Daphnia pulex: one gene and its partners. The main gene of each other region encodes a partner of the protein of the gene in region 2 in a complex. Links are inferred from orthologs where the notes say so. Each region holds a gene or a part of one and is shown on either strand. Other genes may lie near its edges.

Evidence for each region.
Region 1: pre-mRNA-splicing factor CWC22 homolog (region 2) and splicing factor 3B subunit 2-like share a complex: the UniProt entries of both Homo sapiens proteins name them as parts of the minor spliceosome. The link is inferred for Daphnia pulex from reciprocal best matches to the Homo sapiens genes CWC22 and SF3B2.
Region 3: pre-mRNA-splicing factor CWC22 homolog (region 2) and smad nuclear interacting protein 1-like share a complex: the UniProt entries of both Homo sapiens proteins name them as parts of the minor spliceosome. The link is inferred for Daphnia pulex from reciprocal best matches to the Homo sapiens genes CWC22 and SNIP1.

Annotation. Positions count from the first base shown.
Region 1 is NC_060020.1:5,124,964-5,128,720, reverse strand, and holds the start of splicing factor 3B subunit 2-like, read right to left. Parts: upstream 2,404-3,757; 5' UTR 2,164-2,403; coding exon 1,923-2,163; intron 1,836-1,922; coding exon 1,189-1,835; intron 1,127-1,188; coding exon 783-1,126; intron 713-782; coding exon 508-712; intron 438-507; coding exon 187-437; intron 112-186; coding exon 1-111. UniProt on the Homo sapiens protein: Component of the 17S U2 SnRNP complex of the spliceosome, a large ribonucleoprotein complex that removes introns from transcribed pre-mRNAs.
Region 2 is NC_060018.1:7,249,415-7,253,171, forward strand, and holds the start of pre-mRNA-splicing factor CWC22 homolog, read left to right. Parts: upstream 1-1,299; 5' UTR 1,300-1,428; exon of another isoform or gene 1,429-1,493; coding exon 1,494-1,651; intron 1,652-1,718; coding exon 1,719-2,223; intron 2,224-2,290; coding exon 2,291-2,419; intron 2,420-2,487; coding exon 2,488-2,833; intron 2,834-3,041; coding exon 3,042-3,481; intron 3,482-3,543; coding exon 3,544-3,757. Other genes in the region: ubiquitin carboxyl-terminal hydrolase 24-like, read right to left, coding at 1-74, 142-378. UniProt on the Homo sapiens protein: Required for pre-mRNA splicing as component of the spliceosome. As a component of the minor spliceosome, involved in the splicing of U12-type introns in pre-mRNAs. Promotes exon-junction complex (EJC) assembly.
Region 3 is NC_060018.1:419,579-422,461, reverse strand, and holds smad nuclear interacting protein 1-like, read left to right. Parts: upstream 1-1,202; 5' UTR 1,203-1,258; coding exon 1,259-2,230; 3' UTR 2,231-2,314; downstream 2,315-2,883. Other genes in the region: sulfotransferase 1B1-like, read right to left, coding at 1-29, 355-598; biotin--protein ligase-like, read left to right, coding at 2,378-2,386, 2,449-2,594, 2,663-2,883. UniProt on the Homo sapiens protein: Required for pre-mRNA splicing as component of the spliceosome. As a component of the minor spliceosome, involved in the splicing of U12-type introns in pre-mRNAs. Down-regulates NF-kappa-B signaling by competing with RELA for CREBBP/EP300 binding.

The DNA of each region.
Region 1 (3,757 bases), on a different chromosome or scaffold from region 2:
GTGGTCGTAGCTGAAGCGATATCATATACATGGGTAGATCCCATCATCGCTTGACCGATTCTGTCCGTTCGCTTTTCTGGAAGGACGGTATACAGCTGAGGCGTTTCGTTACTAAATAAGAGTGAAAATAGGAATAATTAAAAATGTAAAGTAGCAGTTGTATAGTAGTTGACACTGGTTACATACCTCTCCATCTCTGCTTCAATCTTTTTCTTTCGTAGCTCAATCATATCTGGTGTTTCCAGACCAGCAGGTACAGATGAGAATCCCGAAGGAGTAGCAAGTCCTTCTGCAGGAGTAACCAGACCTGATTGATCAATGGCGCCTTCTTCGTCCTCTCCTTCTTCCTCTTCACTCTCCTCAACTTCCTCCTCCTCTTCTTCCGATTCAAGTTCACCCCACAAGGTACGATCAACTTCTTCGTCGAGTAAAATTGTCTGAAAAAGAGGCAAAAGTATTCGTGGTTAATAGAATTTGTTATACACAGAGTATGAGATATTTTCTTACATCGCCTGCGATTCCAGTCAATCCAAAAACATCGCCGTACAGAGGCCGCCCGAATTCATCGACAGGAGGTTTTCCCCAACCTCCGGCATGGTAGCCAAAGGAAGAACCATCAGGAATTGGAGCGTTCAATCCTGGAATCTTCAAGTTAGGGTAAGACGGTGGTGGACCATATCTTTGCATGGCAATCAACCAAGGAGGAGGAATTCTTAAAGAAAACGCCATTAACATTAACTACTGTAACACAAAACGGTGTCAAATTAAGAATAGATTCTTACTTGTTTGAACTAGGACCAACAGGCATTCCGAGAGCAGTTCGCAGTTCGTCAGACAACTCTCCGGGTTTTTTGTCTTTCATTCGAGTTTCAAATTCTTTTCCTTCATAGTATAAATCACCCATAATCGTCATCTTGGGTTTGGTTTGCCATTTGAAGAAAGCGTCATGCAACTTTTGATAGTCGATATCAACACGCCCCATCTTGGGTCGAACACGCTCACGCATTTTAGCTTTAAGTGTTTTTGACTCTTCCTTTTCCTGCAAAGCAGCTCGCATTTCCATGATTCCGGTCTTTTTGATGAAATCGGGCAAATTGAAAGGAGGCTTTTCTATTCCACGTTTTCCCTAAAGTACAAAAAAATTTGTTTAAAACGAATTGTTTACCCTTTGTGCATAGTAAAATATACCTGTAAGTACTTGCGCTTCGCACACCAATGTCGAGGAACTGGGACCGAATTTCTGGTTGCTTTCAAAAGAACTAACAGTTTGGGGTCTCTAGCAGTAACGTCGTGCATCTCTACGACGTCTGGTCTGGCAACACATTGCTTCAAATCGGCCACACTTAGTCGAGTAAGTTGTTTTAGTTTTCTTTTTGAAACTTTTGGCTTGTCATCATCAGCATTTTCCTTTTTCTCCTCCAAATCTTCCTCTTCTGCAAACTTGGGGACCTTCTTAAGTTCTAAACTTCTTTGAAGTTCTTTCTTTTTGGCTTCATCTTCTTCAGCTTTCTTTGCAGTTTTTTCATCAATGATTTTAAATGCTTCGAAGATTTTGGCAAACTGTCGGTAGAAAGGATTTTTGTCGTCATAAATGATTTCTTCCTGGACATACTCAATATCCACTTGTGGAGGTTCTTCAGCATCATCATTCCTTTCATTTTCTTCTTCTTCTTCTTTCTGTTGATGTCTCTTAGTGCGCTTCTTCTTCTTTTTCTTCTTTTGATTTCTTTGAGTTTTAGTTTTTTCTTCAAGGTTTTCTTCCCCACCGAAATCATCTTTCCTCTCTTCAATAGTTCCTTCAGTTTCTATAACTGTTTTGACAGGGATTTCATTAACTAAAAAAAAAATAGAAAAGAATAAAGTTCATTCCTGCAAGCGAAACCTTTCATGAAGACTAGAAAATTTATAAAAGTGTTACTCACTAATGTTATCAACCTCTCCAGAGTGGCCCGTTTCTCGTACTCGGTATTCTTTGTAAGCAAGGACTTCTTCAAGTGCTGATGGGAGATGTTCATGGGCGGGAATGTCTTCATCACCTGGAGGAGGTGACATCGGTCTAGCACCTGATCCATACATACCGACAGCATTACCCTGGAAGGACCTTGAAGGATCTCCATACATGTAATTCTCCTGGCCGTAGCCGGGCGGCATGTGATGATCCATGTCAAATTCAACTAAATAACTTTCTGTTTCTAAAGAATAATCACACAATCAAAAGGGTGTTTCAAATCAATAGACAAAATAGACGCGTCCAAGTAAAACACGATGAAGTTTTACGTTAATTTAAAACTGCCTTGAAAGAAACACGATAGCAAAACAAGTTTGTTAGAGAACCAAACGGGTGAAGCGAGTAAACGACGACCAAATGAAGCCGAATCTAAAAGCCATGATCAAATCGTATATTCATTGAGGTACCACAGAAAACCAGCAGATGGCGTTCACGACGCGCCCTAAATTTTTAATAAAGGCTTGTGCACACTATCAACACCAGATGGCAGTCTGATGAATCTTAAATGATTTTTTTTTGTGGTGGCACACTGAGAGAGATGCAGTTGCAGTCAAAACGGTTTCTTAAACCGAAGTGCTCTGAGAGTATTGCTAAAGCGGTGGGAGTGGTGTGATTAGTTAGTTTGTGAACGTATTGTTTTCATTGAGATCGTCCAGTTCATCGCGAGGCCGGTAAGTTTGGCCGATTCTGTTTTGGTGTGTGTTGACAGGCTTTTCGTCGGGGCTTGTTTTCAGTTTCTCATTCAAGGCAGTCTTGGTTGGTTTTCTCTCTGCCCAGAGGTCTACAGCATCAAGTGAAACCGACGGCATTTGTTCTCTCCCCTTTACGTTTGTACATACCTTTTGTAGATTGTTTTTTCCAGCCTATTTGATATTATCGTTTTTCGATGGGAAAATTCTCATCGACAATCACATTTTCGTAAAATCTGATGAGAAACGTTGCGTGTGGCCATTTCACCCCTCTTGAGATTTTTTGGTGTCGGTGAACCGATCAAACGTTGGTAGAAGCTAAAAGAGAAATCAGTTTCATTATCAACAACCCTGATGTGAGATGTGCCTGTGAGCCGGATCGATAAGAGACTTTCATCACACAGGCCGTGTAGCAACTTCACTAGGTCTCTCTCAGACTCTCACGCCATTACGTATACACGTTGACATTCTTTCCACGAAGCCATTACCGTTTCTTTTTCTCTCCTTGTCTCTCATATACGTTTACGGTTTTATTTTTTCTTTTTTTTGACGATGAGTGAAAGAGTCGGCCTTTTTCGCCATAGGGCATTGTTGATCCAGGGTCAGTGCAACCGCAAGGCCAAGAAACTAACCAATTTGGTTGCTTTTCCCACTTTGAAGATTGTGTGTGTGTGTGCTGCAGCTAGTAGTAGTATATTTATTATCAGTAGATTATTAAGCAACCCTTGTCCTCTAACCGTCTGCTGACATGCTTATCGATATATCATTTGCAGACGAGGTAACTTCATTTATTGATTCGACCCTTGGCTGGCTTTGAACAAAGGTAAATCATGAACGTAATCTACCTTGCCCTGCATTGATATCGTGTTGGTTTCTATGACATGAAAGAGAAAGTGATGGCCACATCACGTTGATGTTTGCCGGACGTATCACAGGACTAACTGATAAAAGCAAAGTGTCCTTCAACGACGTAGGGCTCTCTCATGTGGTTCGTTCACCTCCTCTGTTGCGGGTCCATTCATATTCATGTATGCAATAACCCCCGTACGAGATGTGATCC
Region 2 (3,757 bases):
ATAGACCATTGATCTGTAAATACTCTAGACTCTAATTCATACAGGTGGGTTTCAGGGAAGCCATCATTTCCACTCTAAGAGATAAAAATGTAAGTGTTGAAAAATGCTTTACATTGACATAATAGATGAAATAGGCTTTACTTCAGACACGGAAGCATCTTCGCTGGATCCTTTGGAAACACCAGCTACCTCTTTCATGTCAACATCGATGTTTAAGTCAGCAACAGGTCCATAAGATGACACTGACTGATCATTGGTGAGGATAGCAACTGCTTCATTTAGATCATTCTTGGCTAAACGTAAAGCTCGTTTGATTTCTCCGATGTCCGGAAATCCCATGGCCATTAACGTGCTGATATTTTCGTCTTCGACGTCCATGACGTCTTCTCTCCGGCGTTTTAAAATTTTTATTGTTTATCTGAAGAGGAAACAAATACAAAATTAGAACATATCACGATGCACGATGAGTGTATCCCAAGCACTCTGCGCATTTTTTTTTTTGTTTTTTTGTTATCTTACTACGATCACAAGAGGCACGAACTCCTTCGCGGAGCTTTTTGAAATTCTTCTATACACATAGGATAAACTGCATGGAGGAGTGGCAAACAAATGTTAGCGGTAGGCAGGCCCCTTGTCAAATGCGCCCTCCCTATTAAACCGTGGGCGCTGACATCTTTGACATGTTGCCAGCTCATTCATTCCTCTAAACAGTGGTTTCAGACGGATTCGACTTTTAGAAAAAATGCTTAATGATTTTTTACCACATAATTTCAATTGAAAGTATGAAATCTCTTTAACAAATCTTCGTGGCTGCCTGTTTTTATTGTTTCATAGCGGTTAGTAATACCTATTTTAAAACTAGGAACTCGCAGGACTAGCGAAAACATGCGAAAATATTTCAAAAATTGAAATAATTATTCTTTTAACGATCCTTTATAACTCTGATTTCACCAGTAACTATTTTAAAAATTCTACACGAAATACGAAGACCTGAGAAGGCTCAGCGCTTAACGCTGCCACAAAGCTGATAAACAATTTAAACAAGTTATCGAAAAAGTCCAAAAAGTATTTGATGGTTGCTCGCTGCTCGGGGCAGAATATTTATTCAATTATTCCTTTTCCAATAAATTTTAAACAAATTTTCATTAATGAGGAAGTGGTTGATTACAAGAAGATTCTTAATTCTTATTTTTTGTCACGTTTGTCTCTTTGCCTGCCTTTGCGATAAACCCGATAAGGCATAAGGCGACAAGCCGACAACCAATGAAATCGAACAAGCTGCCCAAACGCAGGTGGCGCATTAGTGGTAGAATTGTAAGCAAACGGCAATACCGCAATATGGCAATAGGCATTAAGCCAAGGAAGCAAACGTAAAAAAGCAGTTGTTTCTCAGCGTGTTGCGATTGCAATTTTCTATTCATCCAAACAGTATAACATCTGTTAAGTGATATTTTCAAATTAATTTCCCTTCATCTGTCACAATAATCCTTCAGATGGAAAGTGTCGTCAAAGCTGTTGGTTTACCCGTAAATTTCTTAGAAGAAGTCGACGATGATTTGGAAGATGAACGAGACGAAAAAGCTCCAGCAAAGCCCGATAGCAATATTCGGAAACGACGGTATAGTTCAGAGGAGGAATACAGAAGAGAAAGGTAGACAACTGTACCAAAAGTGTTACAAGTAACAAATTAATTTACTTCATATTCATTTTTTTATCAGGAAAAAAAACTATGAAATAGGCACACGCTATTGGGGAGATGAAGGCCCTAGAGATAACTACACACAACATTCAAGAGAACAAGATCAACATTCAAGAAAAAGAGAAAATCAATTGAAAAAGGATGACAGAAAAACTAGTGAACAAGGTCCTTTAAATGAAGAGGATACTAAAGAGCCTAAGAGAGTTAAAGAAATGGATCCAGTGCTGACACGAACCGGAGGAGCTTACATTCCTCCTGCCAAGTTAAGAATGATGCAAGCCCAAATAACTGACAAGTCAAGCTTAGCTTTTCAGCGTTTATCTTGGGAGGCTCTCAAAAAATCCATTCATGGATTAATCAATAAAGTCAATGTGTCAAATATCCCATTGATTATAACATCCTTGTTCAAAGAAAATATTGTTAGGGGACGTGGTCTTCTAACTAGGTCCATCATTCAGGCACAAGCTGCATCACCAACATTTACACATGTCTATGCAGCCCTTGCTGCATTAATCAATTCCAAAGTATAAACGTGATTTATATTAATTCATGTATTTAATTTAATTCACATCACATTTGTTGATGTTTCAGTTTCCTAACATAGGTGAACTGCTATTATCTCGCCTTATTCTTCAATTTCGCCGTGGGTTTCGTCGAAATGACAAACAAATATGTATGAGTTCGACAAGATTCATAGCACATCTGGTGAACCAACAAGTGGTAATATTGAAATTTTGCTCTCATGTTTTGTTTTTCAAATGCACTGAAAATTTTTCTTGGTATTTTAGGCACATGAGCTTTTGGCTCTAGAAATTTTAACTCTTCTGTTAGAAAATGCAACTGATGATTCAGTTGAAGTCGCGGTTGGATTTTTGAAAGAATGTGGTCAAAAGTTAGGTGAAGTCTCCCCTCGAGGATTAACTGCTGTCTTCGATCGCCTCCGTCATGTTTTACACGAAGCTGACTTAGACAAACGCGTGAAGTACATGATTGAAGTAATGTTTCAAGTACGAAAGGATGGCTTTAAGGACAACCCTGCTATCGTGGAAGATTTGGATTTGGTGGAAGAAGAAGATCAATTCACTCATTTGATGTCGATACAAGAAGAAGAATTGGATCCCCAGGATATGTTGAGTAATAAGTTGCTATTAATGGATTTAAAAAATATCTGTATTCCTCAATCTACCAAGTTAGTTTACTGGGCTTAAATTTTTATTTATTTTTAAAATAATCTTTGACTGTAATGAGCCCCAAGTTCCGTGCTTTTCTTAAACTGTTAATAGTAGATTTTATATGTCTATCTCCACTTTGATACCACTAACTGTTTCGCGTATTTTTGTAGATGTTTTCAAGCACGACCCGGATTATGAAGCCAACGAAGAAAAGTACCAAGCTGTCAAAACAGAAATTATTGGAGATAATTCGGGCGAATCAGACGGTTCTGGAGAAGAAAATGATGAATCTGATGGAGATAGTGCTTCGGAGGAGGAAGCAAAAGGTAAGAATAGCATATACTTTTACTTGGGTCGATTCAATTTGTATGTTTTTAATTTTGTTTTTTTAGAACAAGGCGATATTGTTGACGAGACGGAGACAAACCTTATTGCTCTTCGACGCGTTATTTACCTTACTATTCAGAGCAGTTTAGATCACAATGAATGTGCCCATAAAATGATGAAAATGCAAATGAAACCTGGACAAGAAACTGAGTTATGCCATATGATCTTGGATTGCTGCACCCAACAAAGGACGTATGAAAAATTTTTCGGCCTTTTAGCCCAGGTACGATTTCTTATTAAATAAAAAACTATTCAAGTATATCAATTTTCTTTTCGGTGTATTAGAGATTTTGCCAGATTAATAAGGCATACATACCACCATTCGAGCAAATATTTCATGATACATACGACACAATTCATCGGCTGGATACTAACAAGCTTCGCAATGTAGCCAAAATGTTTGCCCATTTACTTTTCACAGATGCCATCAGTTGGCAAGTGATGGCTAACATTCGACTAACTGAAGAAGATACTACAAGCTCTTCGAGAATATTTCTTA
Region 3 (2,883 bases), about 6.8 Mb from region 2:
CCACACTAATTCCTGTGTCCACGTCGTTCCTAAGTAAACAAATTCAAAGTTATCAATTTTATATGTGCGGGAGAATACGAAAAGTTAACACTTTCAAGATCCGAGAGATTTGTATTTGTTTGTTTCAAACTATGTGTTTTAAAATAGGCGGGGAGAAATACAAGGTTGCCATTTGGCTACTAGACTTTCAAGGCTACGGCCAAAAAAATTGATGACAAAGAAATAAATTGTGACGTAATAGCAGTAATTGCTAAACAAATACCACTAGGATATTTATTTTTACGAATTATTATTTTATAAAAATGTAGCTATTACATAAAAAAAATCTTAAAAATGATTGAAAAAGGATTTTACCGCATTTTGGAAAGGTTACTACCCAAACGTCGTCGCTTCTTGGTTGAAAACGTGAAATTTCTTTGGCATGGCGTGCATACTCATCCGTTAAGAGAAAACCACCAGGTTCGCTCTTCATCAGTCCATGCTGCTCGTAGTTTGTGAAGTGTTCTTTCAAGTCTCCATTCACTTCTACAGGATTGAATTTTATGTTCCACTCTGGAACAACTTCGGGAGGAACTGAAGGATTTTCGGGGTTTGTCATCGTGCGAGAGCTCAGACAACAAATGAAAACGCAACGGCAAAAAGGATCGAACAAAGACCGCGACGACTGAATGACACCGTGGCCTCCTTTTTTATACTCAACAGCGACTCAGCGAGTGCCACATCAAATTTTAACGATTTGGTTTTCGTCGTTAAATCAAATGCAAAATTATTAAATCCACGTAAATATGTATTACAATATCAGATATTTGATAATATTTATTTAAATATTTTACAACGACCCAACGAGCAAAAGAAAAATATACTTCTCTAACAACATAATTTTGATTTCGAAAATGTTATGCTGTAATCGATTACAAAAATTCTCAATTTGGCATACATAAGCATTACTCAATTTCTAAAACATTACATAAAAAAATGAGAATATAAATACATTAAAGAGCAGGCAGTGAGGCAGCAGAGAGCAGGTCCGCGGACGGCGGACCGCTAGCGGCTAGCCGTTTACAGGTGGTGGATGAAAGTAAATCTGGCAACGGTTACGAGTTGCGACACCATTTCATGTTGACAAGCCGAGAAACGAGTTGTATCAAACTGAAACTGAAACATTGAATTGATCTCGTTTTTTTGAGAAATACGCCAGAAACATTAAGGTAATTAGAGAGTACTTGTGCATATCTTGTTTTATTTCGTTTGGATCGCCATGGTAAAGCACAACGAAGACGAGAGGAGTCCCAAAAGGTCCCACGAACGAGGCCATGAAAGAGGCAAGACTCACAGACGTCGTGAAGAACGTGACTCTTCCCCACCACGAAAATCTTCACGAAGCGACCATTACCATTCAAGAAGTGATGACTATGAAAGAAGTCGGAAATCAGACAGCAGGAGACATGATTCACAAGTTTCACACAAAGAAAGTAATCGAAGAAATGACCCACCAATTCCAGTTAAAATCAAGAAAGAACCAGTTAGTGATGATGAACAAAGTTTCAGACGTCCACAACACAATGAAGGGCCTTCAAGACGGCATGAGCAACCACATTCAGAAGATCGACCACCAAGACCTTTTAAGCAGAGACGCAAAAGCCCCCGAAGTGAAGATGCTGAAGCAGCCAACTACCAGTATGGCCAACAAGTTAAAGATGAAGAAGAAGAAGGAACACTCGTTGAAAAGCAAAAACCCAACTTTGGTCTATCAGGAAAATTGACTGAAGAGAAGAATGTTTTCAATGGTGTGGTGGTCAAATACAGTGAACCACCTGAAGCCAGAATTCCCAAGCGACGGTGGCGTTTTTACGTCTTTAAAGGGGAAGAGGCATTGCCTACGTTGTACCTTCACCGTCAAAGCGCCTACTTAATCGGAAGAGATCGTAAAGTTGCTGATATTCCAATCGACCATCCCTCTTGCTCGAAACAGCACGCTGCGATCCAATTTCGGTTGGTAAACTACGAACGGCCTGATGGAACTGCAGGACGTACTGTCCGGCCATATATTATTGATCTGGAAGCAGCCAATGGTACTTTTGTAAATAATCAAAAAATTGAATCCAAACGTTACGTCGAATTGTTCGAGAAGGATGTGGTGAAGTTTGGCTTCAGTTCCCGCGAATATGTTCTCCTTCATGAAGAAAGCAAAACAGATGCTAGTTTGGACGATATGGGAGTGGGGCAGTGACACGTTGGTGACCAGCAATGTTTTGTATCATAACAATTTTCTTTTTTGAACGCCGCAATACACTTAATGTTTCTGCGAAAGGTATTCAATCGTCTTTAAGTGTTCTTTCATTTCATTTCCAGGTTTCACACATCAGTGGGGCTGTTCATGTTATTCGTAAGTTGTCACGTTAATTCAAATTTATAACTAAAGCAATTTTTACAACCAGTTGGTAACAGGTAACCAAAATTGCTGGTGTCATGAGACCTGTGGAACGACTGCTGGCCTCCTCAGCAAGACCGCCCAACATTCTAATATGTACGAGTGACAAAGAAGTTTTTCAGCAATATCGAGCCCTCTTTGAATCCACACTAGAGCCGGATTGGTATATAAACAGTATAGACATTTGATATCTGGATTCTTGATCTTAAACAATGTAACATTGATTGACAGTTATGCCCTTTACCATCTCGATGAACTCTCATTTCGTTCTAAAAAAGCTTGGCTAAGCAACACAAGCCTCCTAGTACTTGCTTCTCGATGGTCTGATAATGACTTGCACGATCCGCTGGAAGAGTACATCAAGAAGGGTGGTCAATGTCTTTCCCTACACCCTTTTTCTCCAAAATGGCTGAATGGAACCCAAGTGAATGGCGTTACAAAGTACGTATCTG